Linked DNA regions of Saccharomyces cerevisiae S288C. Changing the gene in region 1 together with any one later gene gives a genetic interaction. Each region holds a gene or a part of one and is shown on either strand. Other genes may lie near its edges.

Region 1 (4,419 bases):
GCCATTAAACGTGATTATGGTGAAGATTCTGAAAAGATGAAAAAGTTTTTTGAAGCATTAGCTTTGATCTCTAGAGATCATGGGAGAACACCATTCCCATGGAGTGCTGATGAGCCTTCTGCAGGTTTCTCGAAGGATGCCAAACCATGGATTGACATGAATGAATCATTTAGAGACGGAATCAACGCAGAAGCTGAGTTAAAAGATAAAAACTCAGTCTTCTTTTTCTGGAAAAAGGCCTTACAAGTTAGAAAGGAGCACAAAGATATCCTTGTTTATGGACATAACTTTCAGTTCATTGATCTTGATAATGACAAGCTATTCATGTTTACAAAGGACACAGATAACAAAAAAATGTTTGCTGTTTTCAATTTCAGTAGCGATAATACGGACTTTTCAGTTCCTGATAATGAGGCCTCCTACACCATGTTTTTTGGCAACTATGCAAACTCAAATGGTGATTCCCGCACCTTGCAGCCATGGGAAGGAAGACTTTACTTGTTGAAGTAACGAGCACATTTAACATAAACGTACTGATCTTTCGAAACAAATAGTTATGCCGATATTTATGAATAATAAACTTGTATATTTCTTTTTACTTTTGCTTTTCATATGTGAGCATTGGATACTTAACTTACGCTGTACGCTATTTTCAATTGCAATTTATATATGTATATAGAAGACAGAAAATTCACTGAACCTTTTTCCGAAGAAATATAAAATAAAAAGCAACGTACAGCAGAAAAATAGAAAACATCATTATTACTGTTTCTATTGTCTAAATTTAGCCCTTTAAACCCCATCATCATAAGTACTAATTACCACGAATTCAATAATTAGTAAATACATTCGACTATTCTCACCCTAACTTTCGTCACTTTATCTTAAAACACTAGCTAAAAGTCGTTTATTATAACAAAACTAAAAATTTCGTAGTATGCACGCCTTATTGCCCAGTATTTTGTTAACTGTATGGATTGTACTAGTAAAAAAAATCTTGACGAAATTGAGTATAAACAAAATTTTAAAAAGCATAGTGCCAAATCAACAGATCTTAGTGAGGTGCAGGCCTTGTTCTTAACAAAAGCAAACCCCTCTTTATATATTGATATATAGGTGAACTAACTCAAATCATGTAAAGCTTTTCCTAAAGGAGCTGTGAGACTCCATTCCGAGAAAGTAACTTTCAATCCGCCACGCTCAGGTGTGCAAGCCATTGGTCCAACAAGGTAATGGTCAGAAGTTGGAAATGGAGCCAAACGTACTAACGGCCATGTTTTTTTATCAGAGGACACCTGAATCCTCAAAACGCCCTTTTCAACAGTAACACGAAGCCAGAAATCGCGAGCATTTCCGCCATAAACAGCAGTTGACCAATCTGATTTTCCATTTGTCAAAACACTGCTTAGCATTGCGTGGCCATCAGAAATTTCTATGCCAGCTTTGAGCCAATGTCCATCATCTATACGAACCATGATACCAGCCTGATCATAAAGACTCTCGTAGCTTCCCTGAACACGGACTTGTGCAGTAAAAGCACTACCTGTCTCTACTCCCAAAAAATGACCGCTATCACGGGTAAATCCGTAAAATGTTTCACGCCAAAAGTCAGTTTTTTCATCTGTTTCCAGAGTGACTTTTCCTGCCTCTTGAAAAACAGATTTTGGCTTATTGAGCCATGTTCCTTGCGATAATTCAGTATTCTTAGATTCGACCATTGTGTTTGGTAATTTATCTTGTTTGATGGAGAAGCCGTCACTTGGACTTTTGTTAATATTAGGTCAGGTTAAATACCTAGGAAATCTGTGCGTATAGGATCATCCCTTTCTAACTCCATCGAAAATGTTACTTGTTTTGTTCGAGGCTATTTGATGACCCTTTCATATGGACGCATGCAGGTGGCCATATTTTCAGTTTAAAGTTTCTCCGCATGTTAATTTGCGCTGAAAAATTAGAACGGTACTTATTTCCCCGAAAATTTCTCAAATCCGAACATAAAGCTACCAGCCACGCGTTTTCTATACGGTTGGAACTTGAGCAGTTTTACATAAGTTGTAAACTATAATTTTCTCCTCGAAGATAGATTATACCAGAAAGAAGCTACTATACACAGTCGAGTTGAGAATGAGCAACTTAAACCAGAACATATACCAATAATTAATAATCTCTCTGCGTATTTAGTCGACTAAAACTGAACTAGCTTTTTATTTATTCTTATAAGAAAATACGGTACATAATCATAGAAGACAACACTTGCTTTCGATAATTCCTCCAGAAAGTGGATCCATCATTTTCGATAGTTTGTAGTTGTACTATCTTTTTCAGTGATCTTTCTTATCACCTTACAAGGATTACCTGCTGCCACTACATTTTCTGGTATGTCACGAATCACAACACTACCGGCGGCAATCACGGAGTTTTTACCTATATTTACTCCAGGAATTATTGACACTCCACCTCCAATCCATACATTGTCTCCAATGGTCACAGGCATGGCATATTCTAATCCTTGAAGCCGTCTTTCCACGTCAATTGGATGACCTGCCGTATAAATACCAACATTAGGGGCGATAAATACGTTGTCACCGATGACTACCTTGGCCCCATCCAATATAACAAGATTGTGATTGGCGTAAAAGTTGTCTCCGATATAGATGTTACTTCCGTAATCACAGTAAAACGGCGGTTCAATTATAAAGTTATCAGTGCAACTACCAAGTAATTCTCTTATTACCTGGCTCTTTTTATTCTCATCAGCGGGGCTAAGGGTGTTGTATTCGTGCAATTTTATTTTAGTCTCTTTTCTAATTTTCAAAAGATCTGGATCATAGTTCGCATCATAAAGCTCACCAGGTACTATATTTTCTAATACGCCCATTTTTCTCTAGAAGCCTTGTTTATATGCTTATTAGAATGCTTCTCTATGTTCTTGTTGTAGTACGTGAGATCTCACTCTTTATACTTGCGTCTTTTCGAAGTAATGCTAAATAGTGCCTGGCCCAGCGTCACAGGGTGTTTAACGAGCGCGTACTATTTGTGAATTTTTTTGGGCACATTGAAAACTTTAATTTTTTAAGTTATTCAGGCACGGCACACTATGACAGGAGGTTACGTCGGAGAAATAGCGTTATGGCCGATTGTGAGAACATTTAAGAAATTTCAATCCATAACAATAAAGTGGCAGTGTCACCTAAAATATTAGTACCAACTTGCCCAATTGGCAGAAGGAAAATAAGGATATCAGGCCACCGACTTGGTACTATTTTTTTATGGTAAATGTGTACTTTTACTAAGCTTAATTTGAAACAGACGTCATATGAATGTTTCTGGGGCTACTTGTTACAATTCTCGGTCCGCAACAACTGAACTCTGTACTGTTCTGTCTCAATGCTTGGTTTCTTGAATGGAATTTCACTCCACCCTTCGGAACGTTACAAAATTTATACATTTTAAAAATTATTCATGAGAGAAAGATGCTATAGTAATCTGTTCACCCTGTCAACTCGTGTAGCTCATGTTTATCATATAATTTCTAGTTCTATAAGGCATAACAAATAGTCCGTTAAGGATTAAGGCGTAAAAAAGTAAATATTGTATATAATAAATAATTAAGTTCATGTATTTTTTTCCAGTTACTAAAAACCGGAAGATTAGCTGGAAAAGAACCTCTTGTAGATTGGTCTATCGTCATGGTCTATGGCGTCAGCATCGTAATCTGCGGTTCTTCTTTCTGGTGGCACCCATGAGGCTGATTTCCATGCTGGCACACCTTCCAGCCACATAGTATTCACCTCCTCCAGCGTCAGGCCTTTTGTTTCTGGGACAAAGAAAAAGACATAAAAGTATGCAAAAACCAGACAGCCTAAGAATACATAACCGTAGTAAAAGTTGATTGCCCCGGTAATGAATGGGGTAAAGAAACTAATCAGGAAACCCCACATCCAGTTTGCAGCTGTTGCGATTGCCATTCCTCTTGATTTGACCCTAAGAGGAAACGTCTCTGAGACAATAACGTAACAGCCGCCTGCCCAAGTGGTGGCGAACGAAAAAATGAAGAACATAGTAAACACAATCATACAGTTACCGGCGCCCTGAGAAGTAATGTCTTGGTGACTGCTTCCTTGAGGCCACAACTTTGTCACACCGACGGAGGCAAACACAGCAAAGCAGCATAGCATAGAAGCAGCACCCCACAATAGACACGTACGGCGTCCAAACCTCTCAATGGTGTATACCGCTATGAATGAAGAGAAAAAATTAACCACACCGATAATGATCGAAGTCTGAAAGGAGTCCTTTAGACCGACAGATTTGAAGATGGTGGTGCCGTAGTAAAAGAAGTAGTTATCACCGGTTAATTGCTGCAGCGATTGGATCATCACTCCCATGAGAACACGCTGAAAGACCTTTGTTTTAGTG
Region 2 (4,005 bases), on another chromosome or scaffold:
CTGCTTGGCCTTGGCTAGGTGCCTTTCCTCAGTGAGATCCTTAACTAGAAATTCCTTCTTCGCAGCAAATGCATCGGAAGACAGGTTCCCACCGTTTCCAATCAATAATTGTGCCCATTGTAGATATTGCCATTCAGTTAACTTTACCCTTGGTTGTGCTTCATTTGCACTGCTTCCCGTTATAAGTGTCATGATGTACTGTTTGAGTACACCCGTCAAAACCATGACAATCGAAATAGGTAACAGGACCCAATACTTCAGCTGGTCATCTAATAACATCTGCGGCGCCCTAGCTTGTTGAATACTGCTTGTTGTTTTGTCTATTCTGTTGAAGAGAAGTTGTTGTAAATGCTGGTTAATCGTCATTCTTTAACATCACAATGCTTTATTATACCTCTTCGTTCTTAGTGAGATGGCGGAAGCCAGTGCTATAGTCACCAAATAATACGCATTATATATGGATATGTACAGTTCGCAGATCTTTATGGCATATTTATCGTTTACAACCGTCTTCTGGTGAATATGAGCCAGTTGTGACCCCCATGATCCGTGACGGAAGGTGAGGTAATTCGGTTCGTCGCCAATTGACTCAGTAAAAGCTTAACTTGCGACTTGATACGCGTGCTCTGATCCAACGGTTCATCCTTCTTGTTATTTCGTGCTATTTTTAACAGCTTCCAGTAGTTTAAATTGCGGTACATTCTCGAGGATTCTTCCAATAAAGGCTGGATATAAGAGACTGCTTCGCTCATTTCAGTGTCTTGATCACCACCGTTGCTTATCAGGGAACGTTTGCAGCCGAAATTTATATTTATACCAATGGTATGCAATTTCAATCTTACTGGAACGTTTGGCATGCTGTTGAATAAGATCAGTTGCGAGAGAGATGGGATGTCCTGAACTGTCTGAAACATGCACCTGTATTCATGTTCTGACTCGCTCGGATCAGTCAGGAAATCAAGTCCCAAACAGTGACCCAACGCTGAGTTTGTCAACTTCCTCTTCATAAAGACTGTCGGTAGTTTGTCGTTTATTGCTCCTTTAGATATGCCCTCTGTTATGAATTCCTTCCATAAAGAGGGGAGATTGTAGGAAGAATCGACAAGACTACCAGCGCCACTGTTTTCCCAGTCGTAAAGCACGAAGGTGTTGTATTCATTCAAGTATTCTTGATATTTGCTTTCACGTAGTTTGTAATTTATCTTCCGCTTTAGGGCAAAACGTTGTTTGCTGGATACATTTCCATACCTAAGCACAAACTTCGGCGTTTTAAGAACTTTCGAAACCTCACTACTATGACTTCCATAGCTCACCATTTTTTCCTTGCAATATTTCTCTCTCCTTTGTTTAATGCTTCTTTACCCAAAAGCGCAGTAAACTTCTGATCAATCAATAAGACGAAACTTGAGAAAACGAAAAATCGAAGAAATATTATATATAGATAGTTGTGGCTGAATAATATATATCTGTTCAAACGTTTTAACGCGCGATAGAAAAAAGATCTCGCTGCTAACTTTTTGAATAACCATTACTACTTTTCCAAGCTATAGGCAAATGGCACCTGCTTCATTTTTAAGGTCATTTTTGCTAAATGTATCATCTTCAAAATAGATAAATCTGTAAAGTATAGCGGAGCCACAAATTTAGCAGGTATAAAAATTACTCAGCCCTTTTGGCCAAGTGGTAAGGCATCGCACTCGTAATGCGGGGATCGTGGGTTCAATTCCCACAGAGGGCATTTGAAATTTTATTTTCTATTTTTTAATTTTTATATATAATATATATAACGCGACATAGCTGTTATTACCTACTAGTAATATCCTCTCTTTTTTCAAACAATGATGGTCCTTGCACTGACAAATATGTTCCTTTCCTTTTTCTTTTCTCTATTCTGCCACTATACAATTTATTGTTTTCCACAAAGGGTAAAGGTACTTTAAGAAAATAGTTTCTTATTTTTTTTGCCATGTAATTACCTAATAGGGAAATTTACACGCTGCTTCGCACATATACAATTGTTTCAGATATGAAAACTGTTGCATTATTGCCGTTCATCATTTAAATACCAGAGCTTATAAACCTGGATATGGCTGAACTATCTCCCGTTGTTACGTTCACACAGAGAGCTTTCAAGTGCCGCTGAAAATTCCACTAGGAAACAAAGAACAAGCTACGTCATGAACTTTTTAAGTTTTAAGACTACAAAACACTATCACATTTTCAGGTACGTGAACATACGGAATGACTACAGGCTGTTAATGATAATGATAATAGGTACCGTGGCAACAGGCCTAGTGCCGGCAATTACTTCTATCCTGACGGGCAGAGTGTTCGATCTACTATCAGTTTTCGTGGCTAATGGGTCACATCAAGGTTTGTATTCCCAACTAGTACAGAGGTCAATGGCAGTAATGGCACTTGGTGCGGCTTCTGTGCCAGTAATGTGGCTTTCTCTAACAAGTTGGATGCACATCGGCGAGAGACAAGGCTTTAGAATACGGTCACAGATATTGGAGGCATATTTGGAGGAAAAGCCAATGGAATGGTACGACAATAATGAAAAATTGTTAGGAGATTTTACTCAAATCAACAGATGTGTGGAAGAGCTAAGATCAAGCTCCGCAGAGGCATCAGCCATAACTTTCCAGAATTTAGTTGCAATATGTGCGCTTCTGGGGACGTCATTCTACTATTCTTGGTCATTAACTTTAATTATTCTTTGCAGCTCTCCAATAATCACATTTTTTGCAGTGGTGTTTTCCAGAATGATTCATGTATATTCAGAGAAGGAGAATTCTGAAACGAGTAAAGCAGCCCAATTACTTACATGGTCGATGAATGCCGCTCAATTAGTGAGATTATATTGTACACAACGTCTAGAAAGGAAAAAATTCAAGGAAATCATACTAAATTGTAACACTTTCTTCATCAAGAGTTGCTTTTTTGTTGCTGCAAACGCTGGGATCTTGAGATTTTTGACGTTGACTATGTTTGTACAGGGATTCTGGTTTGGTTCCGCAATGATCAAAAAGGGCAAGCTGAACATTAACGATGTAATCACTTGCTTCCATTCATGCATTATGCTGGGCTCGACTTTAAATAATACATTACACCAAATAGTTGTTCTTCAAAAAGGCGGAGTGGCTATGGAAAAAATCATGACTCTATTAAAAGATGGATCCAAGCGAAATCCTTTAAATAAAACTGTAGCCCACCAATTTCCACTAGATTATGCCACCAGTGATCTAACATTTGCTAATGTTTCGTTTTCTTATCCAAGCAGACCTTCGGAAGCAGTTTTAAAGAACGTTAGTTTAAATTTCTCTGCAGGACAATTTACTTTCATAGTAGGAAAATCAGGCTCAGGTAAATCTACATTATCCAACTTATTATTAAGGTTCTACGATGGCTATAATGGATCGATATCTATCAATGGCCACAATATCCAAACAATCGACCAAAAATTGCTAATTGAAAATATCACCGTCGTAGAACAGCGTTGTACCCTATTTAATGATACTCTTAGAAAAAATATTCTTTTAGGTTCAACAGATTCGGTAAGAAATGCCGATTGCAGCACCAATGAAAATAGACATTTAATCAAAGATGCCTGTCAAATGGCTCTTCTGGATAGATTTATTCTAGACCTTCCCGATGGACTGGAAACATTAATTGGGACTGGGGGTGTCACACTAAGTGGCGGGCAACAACAAAGAGTTGCTATAGCACGTGCATTCATCAGAGATACTCCAATATTATTCTTAGACGAAGCTGTATCGGCTCTAGATATTGTTCATCGCAACCTGTTGATGAAGGCAATTAGGCATTGGAGGAAAGGAAAGACTACAATCATATTGACGCATGAGTTGAGCCAAATTGAATCTGATGACTATTTATATTTAATGAAGGAAGGTGAAGTTGTTGAAAGCGGCACCCAGTCTGAACTTCTAGCCGATCCGACCACTACATTTAGCACATGGTATCACCTACAGAATGACTACTCTG
Region 3 (4,473 bases), on another chromosome or scaffold:
TAATAAGGTTAATGGACCGTTGACTAGATCACAATATGGTAAAAGAAACCCACAAGGTGTACTAGTCGATGTTGTTATTGAACGCCTTCTGCATCATACAAACTCCAGGTATATGTACAAACGTTTAAATATGAAGGACGATGACAAATTAGAGTTCAAGTTTGATTTTGCCTTTGATAGTTGCGACGAAGTGGAGGAAATGGATCTCTCCTGCCTAATCTGCAAAGTTAATAAAAGAAATATTGTAACTTGGCCCTGTAGATGCCTTGCATTATGCGATGATTGTAGGATATCTCTGGGTTATAAAGGATTTGCTACATGCGTCAGCTGTGATAGTGAGGTGAAGGGTTACAGTAAGTTGAATATAGTCTAGAATTATTTTATTAGGTATACGTATTTAAGACATCATAGGAATTTTTTTTTTTGGATATGTTCAACCTCAAGTCTGAACACTATAACCCTAGGCCAGACTTGTCTTTTCAAATGAATGGCGGATTGGTTTATAGTTTGCACATACCTTTCTTGTCTTCATTGGAGCTGAGCATCATGTTTTGAAGCCTCTTGGCAACTTCATCAATAAACTCTTCTGTGGTTACATATGATGATCTATTAGTCTTTCCAAGCATCAATGCTAAATCCTTGGTCATTTTTCCGCCCACTTGAACTGTGTCCAAAGTAGCCTTTTCTAGTAAGTTTCCAAATTTTATAACATCATCTGTATTGTCTAATTTTCCTCTTTGTATAATTGCCCTTGTCCAGGCAAATATTGAGGCTATTGAATTTGTTGATGTTTCTTCGCCTCTTTGATGTTTTCTAAAATGTCTGGTCACCGTACCATGGGCAGCCTCGCTTTCAAACGTTTTACCATCAGGTGTAATCAATATGGACGTCATTAAACCAAGAGACCCAAATCCTTGTGCCACAATGTCAGACTGGACATCGCCATCATAATTCTTCATGGCGATTATAAACCCGCCCTTTGATTTTAGCATCTGTGCTACCATATCATCAATCAAACGATGCTCGTACGTTATTTTTAAAGCCTGAAACTTTTCCTTATATTCTTTATCGAACAAATTATCGAAAATTTGTTTGAACTGATTATCATAATTTTTCAGAATAGTGTTTTTGGTTGTAAAGAATAACGGTAGTTTTCTTTTGAGAGCTAATTCGAAGGATGCCTTTGCGAACCCTTTAATGGAATCATTTGTATTAAACATTGCCATTGCGATCCCACCACTTTTAGGAAATTCATAAACCTTTAAATCGATGTTTTCTTTACCGTCATCTGAGCTAAACTGTAACCTTAGTTTGCCTGCTTTTTTAATCTTGATGTCAGTAGCCCTATATTGGTCACCAAAAGCATGACGGCCTATAATTATAGGTTTCTCCCAGTGAGGGACTAGACGAGGTATTTTTGGAATAATGATGGGTTCTCTAAATACAGTTCCACCTAGGATGTTTCTGATTGTTCCATTTGGAGATTTCCACATTTCTTTAAGGTTAAATTCTTTCATTCTTGCCTCATCGGGTGTTATAGTGGCACATTTGACAGCAACCCCATATTTTAGGGTAGCATAAGAAGAATCCTTTGTTACTTGATCATTAGTCCTATCACGCTCTTGGATTGAAAGGTCATAGTATTTTAAATCCACATCTAAATATGGCAATATCAATTTTTCTTTGATAAGTTTCCAAATAACTCTTGTCTGCTCATCACCGTCCATTTCCACGATGGGATGAACAACTTTAATTTTACTCATTTTAACTTGGACAACTATCTCTAAAGTGTTGCTTGTGTTTACTGCAGGTATGTGCAGGAGAAAGCTTATAAGGGGAACACTCTTATATACGAAGATGCAAAATTGGGGTAATTAATGTAAATTTAAGAATGACAAGAAGAGTTGACTAGTACACGCAACGAAATACTAATCACATTTTACTTTTCCCCTAAAAGAGAGCTCCTGCTTTTCTCTTTACTGTCCCTTTTGGTATGTTTGATTGATTTCTAATTAGTATACTTGAAATATCATTCGTTTTGTATTAAAGATTCGGCATTAAGCATGCTAAATCCGAGGAGGATCTTCCTTTATTTTTTGATGTTCTTTCTCTCAGACAATAAAAAAGATATACAAGAAAAATATAGTACGTACGTATATATGCATACATATGTAAGAGGCAGTTACACGGTATTAAACTTTAATATTTCGTAAGAGTCTTGCACTAATTTTCCATCAATTCAGCGACTGTCTTTTCACCAGCCAGAACTTGTTTCATGCTAGCCAAGATGTCTTTGAAGGTATCGAATTCATGGAATGGGACGTTTTGTTTTTTACAATAAGTGACCAAATCTTTACCTCTTTTGGCAAATAGCAAATCACATTCTTTTGCAGCACTTAGATCAGAAACACCGTCACCACAGTAAAAGTAAACGGGTCTTTGTTCACCTGCTTTCAAGGTAGATTCAAATTTCTTTTTATAAGCATCGATACTTCTGGATTTGTCATGTCCGAAGGGACTTTCATCCTTATAGATGATTTTCCATTGATCATGTGCATCGATTTCCACTTCATTGGAAACAATGTCAATTTTGTGAATAGACTCTTGTCCAACTAATCTGGTCAATAAAACCTTGATAATTGGTTTCATTCCGCTGGAAACAACGATGACAGGGACATCATTTTCTTGAGCCCATTCGAATGTATCCTTGAAACCAGGATCCAATCGAATTTTCTTTTCTAAGATCTTGATACACTCAGGGAAAGGGGTGTGGATGGATTCCAGCATTTCCATGAAACCTTGCCTAAAAGACTTAGTATCATCTAACACGCCTTCGAAGACCTTTAATCTTTTTTCCTTACCGAAACCTAAAGTATCGGTCAGATAATCGTTAGAATCTTCCAAAGTAACGGTACCGTCGAAATCGGTAAAAATAACAGCTTTGACCATTTCCCTTGTATATATATAAATGCTATGTCACTCCAGCTTATGTTATGTGAGCAAGTTTCAAGAATGTGTGCGTTCTGTTGAGATAAACAATAGAGGACACTGTATTTTTTTAATTTAAGATGATGAAAAATTATGCGATAATTTTCGAAAATTTCGCTCATTTTAGAAAAAGAGATTTGAACAGGGTACCATAGTAGAACGATAAAAGAATATGTCGTACAATGTGTTGGGTTGTTGATATCCAATAAAGAGTTTTTTTCAGCGTGTAATGCTTAGATATTATGTGGAAAGTTACTACTGTTGTATTAACCTGTTTCGTATTTCCTAAAGAACGCTAATGTGTGATGTTTGGGTTTATTTCTTAAGCTATTTAGGCGGACTATGAAAGAGAGGAAACGGAATCTTTTGTTCCCTCGAGGTAATAAGGGGACAAAATAGCAGAGTGTGGTGAGATAGTTTACTAGATGAACGTCGTTGTGTGCTCCGGTGGGACTGCCACAAATTCATTGACTCCTTGCTTTTCTAATATTTCTATCTTAAAAGGACATGAGCTGACGTATATATTGCCAATATCAGATAATGGCGGGTCCACAAGTGAAATTCTACGAATAGTTGGTGGCCCAGCAATTGGTGATATCAGATCTAGAATAGTGAGACTACTTCAAGATGAACAGCTTGTCGAGTTGTTTGGCCATAGGCTACCTAATGATAAGTTATTAGCTAAGAAAGAATGGAATGAAATAGTGGAAGGTTCGCATCCCATATGGAAAAATATTTCGATAGAAGTTAAGGAAATGTGTCGTTCTTTTATTATCCATATGCAAGCAGAACTCTTGAAAAAAATCAAACACTCGAATCCATTTCAGTTTGAGAGTGCATCCATTGGAAATTTTTTCTTAACTGGTGCTAGATTGTTTTTAGGTTCTCTAGACGCATCTATTGAACTAATGATGAGGATAGGAAGGTGCAGTCCTCTAGTTCATGTTATTCCATGTATAAATACCAATCACACACATCATATCTCGGCTTTGTTGACGAATGGTGAGATGATAACTGGCCAATCACAAATATCGCATCCCTCGAAATCTGTTCCTAAAGATAATAGCATAGCACATTCAGCTAAATTTATTCATTTACTTGGCTCTTATGACGACCATTTGAAAATTCTCCTCGACGATGAGGAAGAAGAAGCGGAAGAGGAGTATGCCAATCCTATCTATATTCTTCCAGAACTGAAAAACTCCCAGTTGCATTTTGACAAGCTTGATGAATCACAGAATCTACCTGCTCCGGTACATAGGATATTGTATATAAACCCATATGGCGAAGAGATAAAACCAATGGGAAATCCAAGAGCTATTTCCAAGGTGAAAAAAGCTGACATGGTCGTTTATTCTATCGGTTCTTTAATGACAAGTTTACTCCCAATCCTTATTCTTGGTAATCTTGCTGAAGTAATTTTGGAATCTAATAATACGAAAAAAGTTTTGCTCATAAATAATAAATATGATAGAGAGGTTTTTG

Evidence for each region. A genetic interaction does not mean that the proteins touch.
Region 2: mutations in REE1 (region 1) and CBT1 together harm fitness more than expected from each alone (negative genetic interaction), as found in Saccharomyces cerevisiae (2 studies listed by BioGRID).
Region 3: mutations in REE1 (region 1) and IDP3 together harm fitness more than expected from each alone (negative genetic interaction), as found in Saccharomyces cerevisiae (2 studies listed by BioGRID).

The regions. Positions count from the first base shown.
Region 1 is NC_001142.9:20,432-24,850, reverse strand, and holds REE1 (Ree1p), read right to left. Parts: upstream 1,719-4,419; coding exon 1,122-1,718; downstream 1-1,121. Other genes in the region: oligo-1,6-glucosidase IMA5, read left to right, coding at 1-510; YJL218W (acetyltransferase), read right to left, coding at 2,288-2,878; hexose transporter HXT9, read right to left, coding at 3,651-4,419. UniProt on the Saccharomyces cerevisiae protein: Functions in the galactose metabolic pathway via the GAL83 protein and that it may control the level of ENO1.
Region 2 is NC_001143.9:44,468-48,472, reverse strand, and holds CBT1 (Cbt1p), read right to left. Parts: upstream 1,317-4,005; coding exon 501-1,316; downstream 1-500. Other genes in the region: ER membrane complex subunit EMC3, read right to left, coding at 1-279; ATP-binding cassette a-factor transporter STE6, read left to right, coding at 2,178-4,005. UniProt on the Saccharomyces cerevisiae protein: Involved in 5'-end processing of mitochondrial COB, 15S rRNA, and RPM1 transcript. May also have a role in 3'-end processing of the COB pre-mRNA.
Region 3 is NC_001146.8:612,111-616,583, reverse strand, and holds IDP3 (isocitrate dehydrogenase (NADP(+)) IDP3), read right to left. Parts: upstream 1,764-4,473; coding exon 501-1,763; downstream 1-500. Other genes in the region: putative ubiquitin-protein ligase ASI3, read left to right, coding at 1-373; PYP1 (putative phosphoric monoester hydrolase), read right to left, coding at 2,224-2,949; YNL011C (uncharacterized protein), read left to right, coding at 3,414-4,473. UniProt on the Saccharomyces cerevisiae protein: May function in the production of NADPH for fatty acid and sterol synthesis.